Linked DNA regions of Macaca fascicularis. The protein of the gene in region 2 interacts with the protein of the main gene of each other region in a biochemical or structural test. Links are inferred from orthologs where the notes say so. Each region holds a gene or a part of one and is shown on either strand. Other genes may lie near its edges. The genes, in order: NOLC1, KBTBD8 and TCOF1.

Region 1 (3,649 bases), on a different chromosome or scaffold from region 2:
CTAACAGAAGGGAGTTAAGCCCCAAGCCAAGGCAGCCAAAGCTCCTCCTAAGAAGGCCAAGAGCTCTGATTCTGATTCTGACTCAAGCTCCGAGGATGAGCCACCAAAGAACCAGAAGCCAAAGATAACACCTGTGGCAGCTAAAGCTCAGGCTAAGGCCCCTCCCAAACCAGGTACTGTTTCTGTTCCCAAGAGGCTGGGCTGGGAACCAGATTGCTCTGGGGACTTGTGTTAAAACTGCTGATTTGGCACAGGGGTGAAATGGTACTGGTTGTTGAACTGGAGGTATTGATTACTGGTCTTTTAATTTTAAAGGTTTTACTAATAACAAGATTTCATAGGAGCTAGTAAATAGAGAAACAGTTATTGCAGCAAGGAAAAATGTATATTTTTTAAAATGATATCCATTTGGTATTTTTTTGTGACATTTCATAGACATTTTATGTTCTTACACATCCCATTCCACTGTAACCACTTAAATATCTATTTGTTGTGCTTTTCACTGCCTTTTTTATTCTTGTACGTCATTCTATGAGACAAATGAGAATTTTTCTTTTTTTCTGTAACTTGAGGGTTAGGTTATTTCTCTGAATGGAGGTTGAAGTGAAAGATTTTAGAGGGCATATTGAGATTATTTATGTCATCTTTTCTTAGTTTTATTCCTGCCATGGGATAGGAAAGGCATCCTTTGATGTGGTAAACCATGGCATTCTCCTTGATGGCTGCTCTAAAGTTGAAAGAATTGGTGGACTCCTGGCCAGGCACAGTGGCTCACGCCTATAATCCCAGCACTTTGGGAGGCTGAGGCAGGCGGATTGCTTGAGGTCAGGAGTTCAAGACCAGCCTGGCCAACATGGCAAAACCTTGTTTCTACCAAAAATAAAAAAACTAGCTGGGCATGGTGGTGGGCACCTGTAATCCCAGCTACTCCGGAGGCTGAGGCAGGAGAGTTGCTTGAACCACTGCACACTGCTCTGTGCGACAGAGTCAGAGCCAGACTCCGTCTCAAAAGAAAAAAAAAAGGGGGGGAATTGGTGGACTTCTAAGTTCTCTGCTCATAGGAAGGAGGTTTTTCATGGTCCTGACTTGCCCTATTACTCCTTACTCTTTCTTTTTCTTGGGTATTCCAGCTCGAGCAGCACCTAAAGTAGCCAATGGTAAAGCAGCCAGTAGCAGCAGCAGCAGCAGCAGCAGTAGCAGTGATGACTCAGAGGAGGAAAAGGCAGCAGCCACCCCCAAGAAGGTCTGGGCCATAACTTCGGTCAGGGAAGAGGTGACCAGGGTGGGGTGTGTGTGTGTCTCCATTCCCTGGCAGGATTGGTTGGATCAGCATTTTCCTGTGGTAATCAGTTTTCTTTCCAATGCAGACTGCACCTAAAAAGCAAGTTGTGGCCAAGGCCCCAGTGAAAGCAGTTGCCACCCCTACCCAGAAGAGTTCCAGCAGTGAGGATTCCTCCAGTGAGGAGGAAGAGGAGCAAAAAAAACCCCTGAAAAATAAACCAGGTGACTGGACATGGAGAGTCAAGCTGTATGACTGTGGTCAGGGCCCAGCTGCAGTAATCACATGGACCTCTCCATAGAGCTGCTTGAGCGTCCTCATGACATGACAGCTAGCTTCTCCCAGTACTAGTGATCTGGGAAAGCAAGGAGGAATCTCCAGTGCCTTGTATAACTTAGACTCAGAAGTGACACCGTGTTCTGTTAGAACTGAGTCATTGGCCGGGCGCGGTGGCTCACGCCTGTAATCCCAGCACTTTGGGAGGCCGAGACGGGCGGATCACAAGGTCAGGAGATCGAGACCATCCTGGCTAACAAGGTGAAACCCCATCTCTACTAAAAAATACAAAAAACTAGCCGGGCGAGGTGGCGGGCGCCTGTAGTCCCAGCTACTCGGGAGGCTGAGGCAGGAGAATGGCGTAAACCCGGGAGGCGGAGCTTGCAGTGAGCTGAGATCCGGCCACTGCACTCCAGCCTGGGTGACAGAGCGGGACTCCGTCTCAAAAAAAAAAAAAGAACTGAGTCATGATTCTGGCCTATACTCAAGGGGAATTAAGCTTCATTTCTAGAAGAAAGTAGTATCAAAAAATTTGTAGACATATCTTAAAACCATCATACTATCCTTTTTAAACAGGTCCCTACAGTTCAGTCCCCCCACCTTCTGCTCCCCTACCAAAGAAGTCTCTGGGAACCCAGCCTCCCAAGAAGGCTGTGGAGAAGCAGCAGCCTGTGGAAAGCAGTGAAGACAGCAGTGATGAGTCTGGTGAGTCAGAGGGATGCAGCCTCCCCTCAGTGTGGGTCTGGAGAAGGGGATGAAGAATAAGGGAGAGAGAAAGCCTTCCATCCCTCCATTGTTTTTTGCTTAAAGCAAGACAGAGCTATGGCTCTGTGTGTGTCTTTGCATTCTTTTTATTGCTGTCCTGGTTGGGTTGGGACTCTGGACCCAGCATAATGCTACAGGTTCTCCTCAGATTCAAGTTCTGAAGAAGAGAAGAAACCCCCAACTAAGGCAGTCGTCTCTAAAGCAACCACTAAACCACCTCCAGCAAAGAAAGCAGCAGAGAGTTCTTCAGACAGCTCAGGTAAGGCATATGGAGGCCCTCAGTTCAGTGAAATGCTCTCAGGCAGCTGCTAAGGGCTCCCCTGAATCTGAATTGGGGAGCTGTTGATCCCATCCCTCTGTGTCTAGACTCTGACAGCTCTGAGGATGTTGAAGCTCCTTCCAAGCCAGCTGGTACCACCAAGAATTCTTCAAATAAGCCAACTGTCACCATCAAGTCACCTGCAGCAAAGCCAGCTGCAACCCCCAAGCAATCTGTGGGCGGTGGCCAGAAGCCTCCGATGAGAAATGCTGACAGCAGCTCCAGTGAGGAAGAGAGCAGCTCCAGTGAGGAGGAGAAGAAAAAAAAGACGGTGGCCACCACTAAGCCCAAGGCGACTGCCAAAGCAGCTCCGCCTCTGCCTGCCAAGCAGGCTCCTCAGGGTAGTAGGGACAGCAGCTCTGATTCAGACAGCTCCAGCAGTGAGGAGGAGGAGGAGGAAGAGAAGACAGCTAAGTCTGCAGTTAAGAAGAAGCCACAGAAGGTAGCAGGAGGTGCAGCCCCTTCCAAGCCAGCCTCTGCAAAGAAAGGAAAGACTGAGAGCAGCAGCAGTTCTTCCTCTGATGACTCCAGTGAGGAGGAGGAAGAGAAGCCCAAGGGCAAGGGCTTTCCCAGACCACAAGCTCCCAAGGCCAATGGCACCTCTGCACTGACTGCCCAGAATGGAAAAGAAGCTAAGAACAGCAAGGAAGAGGAAGAAGAAAAGAAAAAGGCAGCAGTGGCAGTTTCCAAATCAGGTCTGTACCCAGTAAACATGCCCTCTGGGTTTTGTCCCCCCAAATCAGGATGGGATATACTCTTTGAGAGTAGGGTAGTGAGAGGAGGCCCACCACTGGGCTTCCAGTTGTGGAAACTGGGAGGAAGAACAGGAAACTGGTCTTTTTTTTTTTTTAATAGAATCTTACTCTGTCACCCAGGCTGGGGTGCAATGGCATGATCACGGCTTGTGCAGCTTTAACTTCATGGGCTCAGGTGATCTTTCCACCTTAGCCTCCTGAGTAGCTGGGACTACAAGCATGCACCACCATGTCTGGCTCATTTTTTAACTTTCT
Region 2 (3,649 bases):
ATAAGCCTTATTATTGCAAAAGTTATGAAACTTAATTACAAAGAGTTTGGAAGTATAGTCTTTAAGTTTCACCTTCACTGCTGTTTATGTTGCCTTTCATAATACATTTTCAATTGTTTTCACCGGAAAACTTTGAGATGTCACTTTTTTTTGGTTTGCCATTTTAATAGGACTGTCTGATATATGTAGTGTTTTTTGTTTGTTTGTTTTTTTAACTGTTAAGGACTACTTTGACAAAAATACAGTAGAGGTAGAGTGACTGAGTCAGAGTAAATAAGACATTTGATTCAAGGCTCTGATTTGTGATAACTAGTATTTTCCTTTTATTTGGTTTCTTACATATTTTAGTTGCTTGAATGTTTAATGCAGTGTAGATAATAGCAACATCCTTATTCTTCATATGTGTCCTTCAATTGATGTTTTTCTCACACTACTACTTAAGGAAAAGGAGCAGCTTCTATGAAGATATACAGTCATGTGCCATGTAATGTTTTGGTCTGTGATGGATCACATACACAATGGTGGTCCTATAAGATTATGATAGCATAATTTTACTGTACTTGTTCCATGTTTAGATACGTTTAGATACAAAAAACGCTTCCCATTGTGTTATAGTTGCCTAGAGTACTCAGTACAGTCACATGCTGTACAGTTTTGTAGCCTAGGAGCAATAGGCTACAGTGTAGCCTAGGTGTGTGGTAAGCTCCCATCTAGGTTTGTGTAAGTATGCTCTATGAAGTTCTTTGCACAAGGACAAGTATCACTTAACCATGCATTTCTCAGAATATGTCCCTGTCATTAATTGATGCATGACTGCCCTTATCCCATTGTTTTCTTTCTTTCTTCTTTCCCCTTCCCCTTCCCTTCTTTTCTTTCATTTATTTCTTTCTGTTTTGTTTTGAGACAGGGTCTCACTCTGACACCCAGGCTGGTGTGCAGTGGCATGATCTTGGCTGACTGCAACTTCCGCCTCCTGGGTTCACATGATTCTCCCACCTCAGTCTCAGGCACCCGCCACCATGCCTGGCTAATTTTTGAGTTTTTGGTAGAGACGGGGTTTCACTATGTTGACCAGGCTGGTCTTGAACTCCTGACCTCCAGTGATCCACCCACCTTGGCCTCCCACCATTGTTTTCTTTTAAAAATTGTGTTCCTTGCTCTAATCCTTTATTTAACTAAAAACTTCCTAGTAATGTCCGAGCCCATTTGTTTAAGTTCAGTGTCAAGTTAATTCCTCAGAAGGAGTTGTAGTCTCTGGTTCATTATTTTAGTTAAATAGAAGCACCGGGCATGATTTGGGTTTGCTGTCTTGCAGAAAAATGGAATATAGGAATGGATGTATAATCTGTCCAGTATAGTTGGATAGGTTATGTCATCCAGTATGATGAAGCTGTGTATGTGTGTATTTTGGTCTTACTGCCTAACTGTTAGTTGATAGAGGTAGAATTAGATTCCTATTTGGAATGTAAAGGTTGTATATTAATGCAAATACTAAAGCAAACTAGCAATGAATTAATAGAATTTCAGGGCTGGAATTATTAACATCATTTAATTTGAGGTTATATTTTACATAAGAGGATTCTGAAGCCCTAAGGGTTTCTTAATTGCATATTATTAGCTTTAACTTATTAAAGAGTACTTTAGATTTTAAAATTCAACTTCTTTGGTTTGTCGTCTTTACTTTCTTATCTATAAGAAATTTATAGAGAAGTAGCACACATTACAAAGTTTAAATTTCCTACCTTCTTTATCAAGAATCCTGTTACAAGTTAGGCAATAAGGGCAGATGATGTGCAAGCAAATCTGGGAGCTTAACAAGCTATTTTAAGTCAGTTGAAGGCAAAGCATCACTGTTATGAAGTAGGTAGTCGAATCTGTAGATAAGAGTAACCCTAGTTCAAAACAGTTTTCAAGGGGAAGCTCAATTTAGAATCTGGTATTTCTAATCTAAACAAAGCCTCTTTACATAAATAAACCTGACATGCATAGTCAGAAGCTTATGTTGTACTATCTGTGGCTATTGAAGTATCATTTAATCTGTTCATAAAGGGTTCAGATTTTTATTACAAAGATTTTATACAGATGCTATAATTAGCAAAACTCTTGTAAATCTTCACTACTTTAATTCTTTCAGACATTTTCATATTGGCAGTCTGACTCAGCATACCTTTTTATTGTCAAATCAAAATAGAAACTGACTCAGAGTCAACATCACAAACCATGTATGTGTTTTCTATCTTATTAAAGGCATGTTTTCTCCTGCTGAATATTTGTCTTTGCATTATAGCAACATTCAGGTAAGCACATCAGTGACCCATAAGCATAAATCTGTATAATTCCATCTGCTGTCTTCTAATGAAATAGCATATACATTTATCATGGCATATTTATGGTGATGTTGTATGTATGCATTTTGGTCTTACCGGCTGAACACTACTAATAATGCTTTTTTAGAGTTAGAGTGAAATGAGTTTTCTATAAACACACAAATTGGATAGAGCAAATAGAATAATTTTTTTTTTTTTTTTTTTGAGCTGGAGTCTCACATTGTTACCCAGCCTGGAGTGCAGTGGCGTGATCTTGGCTCACTGCATCCTTCACCTCCCAGGTTCAAGCGATTCTCCTGCCTTAGCCTCTTGAGTAGCTGGAATTACAGGTGCCTGCCACCGCACCTGGCTAATTTTTGTATTTTTAATGAAGGTGGGGTTTCATCATGTTGGCCAGGCTGGTCTCTGAACTCCTCACCTCAAGTGATTCACCTGTCTGAGCCTCCCAAAGTGCTGGGATTACAGGCATGAGCCATGGTGCCCAGCCAGAATCAAGCTCTTAACAATTCTATGATCAAACCCAAGTAACTCCTTATACCTTCCCAATACAAACCTCCCAATTCAGGTTGATTATAATATTATCGGTTATATTGTGTCATGGAATGACAAAGTTTTAAGGTATTTCGTAACCCATATGAATGTATCTCCAGAGATTATAAAGAAAATGTTTTAGAAAGTGAAATATATAGAAAATTATGCCCTTTAATCTTTAGAGGTTGTAGTTACAACATATAACCAAAAACCAAACATAAAAATATACATATTCTTGTTTTCTTTTTTTAGGAGAATTTTTCCTCTTCTATGAGCCTCAAAAAGACTACTGGGGTTTCCTGACCCCCATGACTGTGCCTAGAATCCAGGGCTTAGCAGCTGTATACAAGGACTCTATCTACTACATAGCTGGAACCTGTGGAAATCATCAACGTATGTTTACTGTAGAAGCCTATGATATTGAGCTAAATAAATGGACTCGTAAGAAAGACTTTCCATGTGATCAGTCCATAAATCCATACCTTAAACTGGTACTTTTCCAGAACAAACTCCATTTATTTGTTCGAGCTACTCAAGTGACTGTCGAAGAACACGTCTTCAGAACCAGCAGAAAAAATTCCCTTTACCAGTATGATGACATTGCTGACCAGTGGATGAAAGTGTATGAGACCCCAGATCGGCTCTGGGACCTTGGCCGGCATTTTGAATGTGCTGTTGCTAAACTGTATCCTCAGTGTCTTCAGAAAGTACTCTAAATGAGTAGCAGGCCTTAGTGCATCACTGGCATCTCATTCTTAGGAAACTTGTCTTTGATACAAAAGAGTGCTGAC
Region 3 (3,649 bases), on a different chromosome or scaffold from region 2:
GGAGGGCACAGTTAGCTCCGGCCACCTCTCCCCCCAGAGCCCACTTTTCTGCTGCTGCTTTTTTTGAGACAGAGTTTTGCTCTGTTGCCCAGGCTGGAGTATGGTGGTACAATCTCGGCTCACTGCAACCTGTACCTCCCAGGTTCAAGCAATTCTCCTGCCTTAGCCTGAGTTGCTGGGAGTACAGGCACCTGCCATCATGCTGGTTAGTTTTTTGTATTTTTAGTAGAGACAAGGTTTCACCACATTGGCCAGGCTGGTCTTGAACTCCTGACGTCAAGTGAGCTGCCTGCTCTGGCCTCCCAAAGTGCTGGGATTACAGGCGCGAGTCACTGCACCCAGCCCACTTTTCTGCTGCTTATCTGCAAATACGCAGAACAGCAAGGCTGGGGAGGCCCTGGAGCTGTCCCAGGTGTGCCCAGCTGGTACATATTTGACCTCAGCTCCAGTAGGGTCAGGGACAGTGGATGCCCCAGAGGTCGCGTGACTGGAATACTCCATTCTGCCCTCCAAACACCATGTGACTATTTTCTACACGTGCCATGCCTTGACACAGATGGGATACATCAACTCCTGCTTTGTATGGTTAAGACACAGAGGCTCAGAGTGGCCAGGGGATTTCCAAGGCTTTACAGTGAGTGGGAACAGCCTGGGGCCAGTCTATTGCCTGGGGTCTCCTGCATGTGCTGAGTGTCCTCCGGACATGACTGTCAGCCTACTGTCTAAGCTATCCTCTGGGGCCCATGGCCCACAACCCACACAGTGAGCCTATTTATGGAGAAGAAAAGTTGATGGGGATGGTTGGAGAGAGCCAACGCTTGCTGCACAAGCCAAAAGATGCGGCTTCCTCTGAGGCAGGGGTTATCCTACCAGGTGCATCAGCACCAACCCGGGCCTGGATACACCCCTACTTCCAGGCTGTCCAGGGCCATGGCAGCCAGACACCTGGGCGTGGGGCCCACCTGTACTTTTTTTTTTTTTGAGATAGGGCCTCACTCTAGCACCCAGGCTGGAGTGTAGTGGCATGATCATGGCTCACTATAGGCTCAACCTCCTGGCCTCAAGTGATTCTCCTGCCTCGGCCTCTCAAGTAGTTGGGACTACAAGCGTGCACCATCACACCAGCTAATTCAAATACATTTTAGAGATGAGATCTCCCTCTGTTGCCCAGGCTGGCCTTGAACTCCTGGGCTCGAGCAATCTGCCCACCTCGGCCTCCCAAAGTGCTGGGATTATAGACGTGAGCCACTGCACCCGGCCCCACCTGCACTTTGATGAGCATGTCCAGATCCAGTGCAGGGCCATAAGGTCTCACTTGGCAAGGCTCTGGGGGCAGACAGGACCACATTGGGAGGACTGTTGCTGCAGGAGAGCAGGAAGGGGCCCACTGCCCTGTCCCTCTGTGTCCTGCTATAATTCCTCCTGCAGACCTTAACTTACCTGTTTTAGGGGACAACATGCCTGCTGCCTGTTGGGGCTTTGCCTCCTGCTTGCCATCTGGGTCATCTTTGGCTGCCAGAGTAGAGGAAACTGAGGGGCTGGAGTATGGCTTGGGAGTGGCTTTTGAGGCCTGGGAATTGGCTGGGGTTAGTCCAGGGGTCACATAACCTGAGAGGAGAGACTGAAGAAGTCCATTGTGAAACAGGCTGCCACCACCCCGACCCCCGCCATAACCCAGCCCGAGTGACGGCCTGCTGCGAGGAAAGCAGCCTGCGGCCTCTAGGATCGCCCTGCCCTGACGGTGCAGAGTGGGCGGACAGCAAGGCACAGAGCAGCACTTCAGCCCTTGGTGTGTGCCTCCTGAACCCTCCTAATACACTTTCTAGACAGGCACATTTAAAAAGGAAATTTCTTATTAATGCGAATGGAAAATTACTAGTTTTTGCCACATACAGATAGTAAGTAACCTTAAAAGAAATTGGCTAAAGAATGTTTTTGTCTGGACATCACCCAGAATCAAGGTCAATCCCTTCTACAGACCCTAAGGGTTAGCTACTCAGGGCTCTACGAGGGGAGGGAGGCAGCCTGGCCGTGGTCTGCTGGCTGGGCCACATGCAGTGCCTTGCAGACAGGACCTTGCCCAAGGCCTCTGAAGAGAGGGGACCCAGACTCCTGACCTGAGTGATGGAGTAGACAGGAGCCTGGCCTGGGGCTCCATCCTAAGGCCCCTGGGCTGCCAGCCCTCTCCCTTGCAGTTACCTGGGATGGCGCCACCACATCATCCTCGCTGGACTCTGCTGCAGTCTCCTCCACCAGGGTCTCCGTCCTGGAGGGGGTGGGACCTACTGGAGAAGCACAGTATCTCCAGTTACTGTTGGTAGCCCCAAGTGGCCCCTTCCAGCCGGGAGGGGCAGAGCCCTTGAGGAAGGCCCTGGTTTCTCTGCAGGTCCCTTACCCCAATCCCCGCCCCACCCCAAATCTTCCTACTGCTTCAACACTCCTTGCACACTCATCGCTAGTCACAGCATGCTAGGCACGACATCTGAATGCCAAAGCCTTATTTCTAACTCCTGAGGCCCCATTTCTAGTTCCCTGCTTTCCACTGTTCCGGAAACATGGCCCTGGAGTTTTGGGGAGCCAATGAAGGGAGTCTGATACCAAAATGCTGAGAGTGGTGAAACAGCAAAGTCAGGTCTCTGAAATCATTTGGATTGACTTTCTCATGAAGTTGTACAGGTGGGGAAACTGAGGCCCAGGCTCAGCCACAGGCACAGAACAAGTCTGAGATATGGAGCTGAGGCCAGAGCTATGGCTCCACCAGGCCACACTCCACCCTCTTCCTGGCCCACCCTTCCTTTTCCCCAGCACCCTCACCCAGCGTGTGGGCCGACTTGGCCACCTGGGGCCCTTCAGCATCTTCCTCGCTCCCTGAAGAGCTGTTGCTGCTGTCCTCACTGTCATCTGAGCTCCCAGGGGCTTTGGTGGCCTGCTGGCCCTCAGGAAGCTTAGGTTTTCTGAGCTTGTTGGTCCCTTTGGCCTGGATGGGGGTGCTCTGGGGACTCGTTGCAGGGAGCGTTCCCACAGCACTGTCAGCCTAATTTGGTGAAAGGAGAAGGAATGGAAGGAAAAATTAGGGCAAGTAAGACCTGGTCCTTCCTGAACACTTCAATAGGACCAGGCACTGTGTTAGACAGGGCACACATGCAGCCTCTTTTGATCCTCCCAACTACAAAAGGTACTGTAATTCCTTCTTACAGATTAGGCCACTGAGGCCCAGGGAGGCAAACCAAGTGCAGAGGTCACAGAACAGGTAAGTGCTGGTGCCAGGACGCAGGGCCACACCTGCACCTTCTATGCTCCGCGGGCTTGCTTCCCCTGCTCCCCAGGCTCACCCCACGTGAACGCTGGGTCCTGGCAACAGGAGGCTGAGCCTCACTGGCTTTCTGGGCGAGGACCTTCAGGGCAGCCTGGGTCAGTGGGAGGGAAGCTGGGTTCTTCTTTGACACCTGCGGGTGGCAAGAGGTAGCCCTGAGACTCACGAGTCCTCGGGATGCCAGCTGTGCCACACCCTGGTCAGATGCCATCTAGCTGGGCTGAGGGCTGGAGTGCGGACTGAGGGGCAGTCACAGGGGCAAAATTGGTGGCAGGCTTCAGGTTATGAGCTAATCACATTGTCCTCAAGGAGCAAGGGACAGTTCCCAGCCCAGGG

The links.
Region 1: the proteins of KBTBD8 (region 2) and NOLC1 form a complex in vitro, tested with the Homo sapiens proteins (2 studies listed by BioGRID). The link is inferred for Macaca fascicularis from reciprocal best matches to the Homo sapiens genes KBTBD8 and NOLC1.
Region 3: the proteins of KBTBD8 (region 2) and TCOF1 form a complex in vitro, tested with the Homo sapiens proteins (2 studies listed by BioGRID, with this or other methods). The link is inferred for Macaca fascicularis from reciprocal best matches to the Homo sapiens genes KBTBD8 and TCOF1.

Annotation. Positions count from the first base shown.
Region 1 is NC_088383.1:111,164,329-111,167,977, forward strand, and holds part of NOLC1 (nucleolar and coiled-body phosphoprotein 1), read left to right. Parts: intron 1-7; coding exon 8-173; intron 174-1,130; coding exon 1,131-1,243; intron 1,244-1,367; coding exon 1,368-1,503; intron 1,504-2,131; coding exon 2,132-2,260; intron 2,261-2,468; coding exon 2,469-2,579; intron 2,580-2,686; coding exon 2,687-3,334; intron 3,335-3,649. UniProt on the Homo sapiens protein: Nucleolar protein that acts as a regulator of RNA polymerase I by connecting RNA polymerase I with enzymes responsible for ribosomal processing and modification.
Region 2 is NC_088376.1:130,078,591-130,082,239, forward strand, and holds part of KBTBD8 (kelch repeat and BTB domain-containing protein 8), read left to right. Parts: intron 1-3,110; coding exon 3,111-3,574; 3' UTR 3,575-3,649. UniProt on the Homo sapiens protein: Substrate-specific adapter of a BCR (BTB-CUL3-RBX1) E3 ubiquitin ligase complex that acts as a regulator of neural crest specification.
Region 3 is NC_088380.1:157,272,207-157,275,855, reverse strand, and holds part of TCOF1 (treacle protein), read right to left. Parts: intron 3,447-3,649; coding exon 3,333-3,446; intron 3,035-3,332; coding exon 2,815-3,034; intron 2,286-2,814; coding exon 2,200-2,285; intron 1,622-2,199; coding exon 1,441-1,621; intron 1-1,440.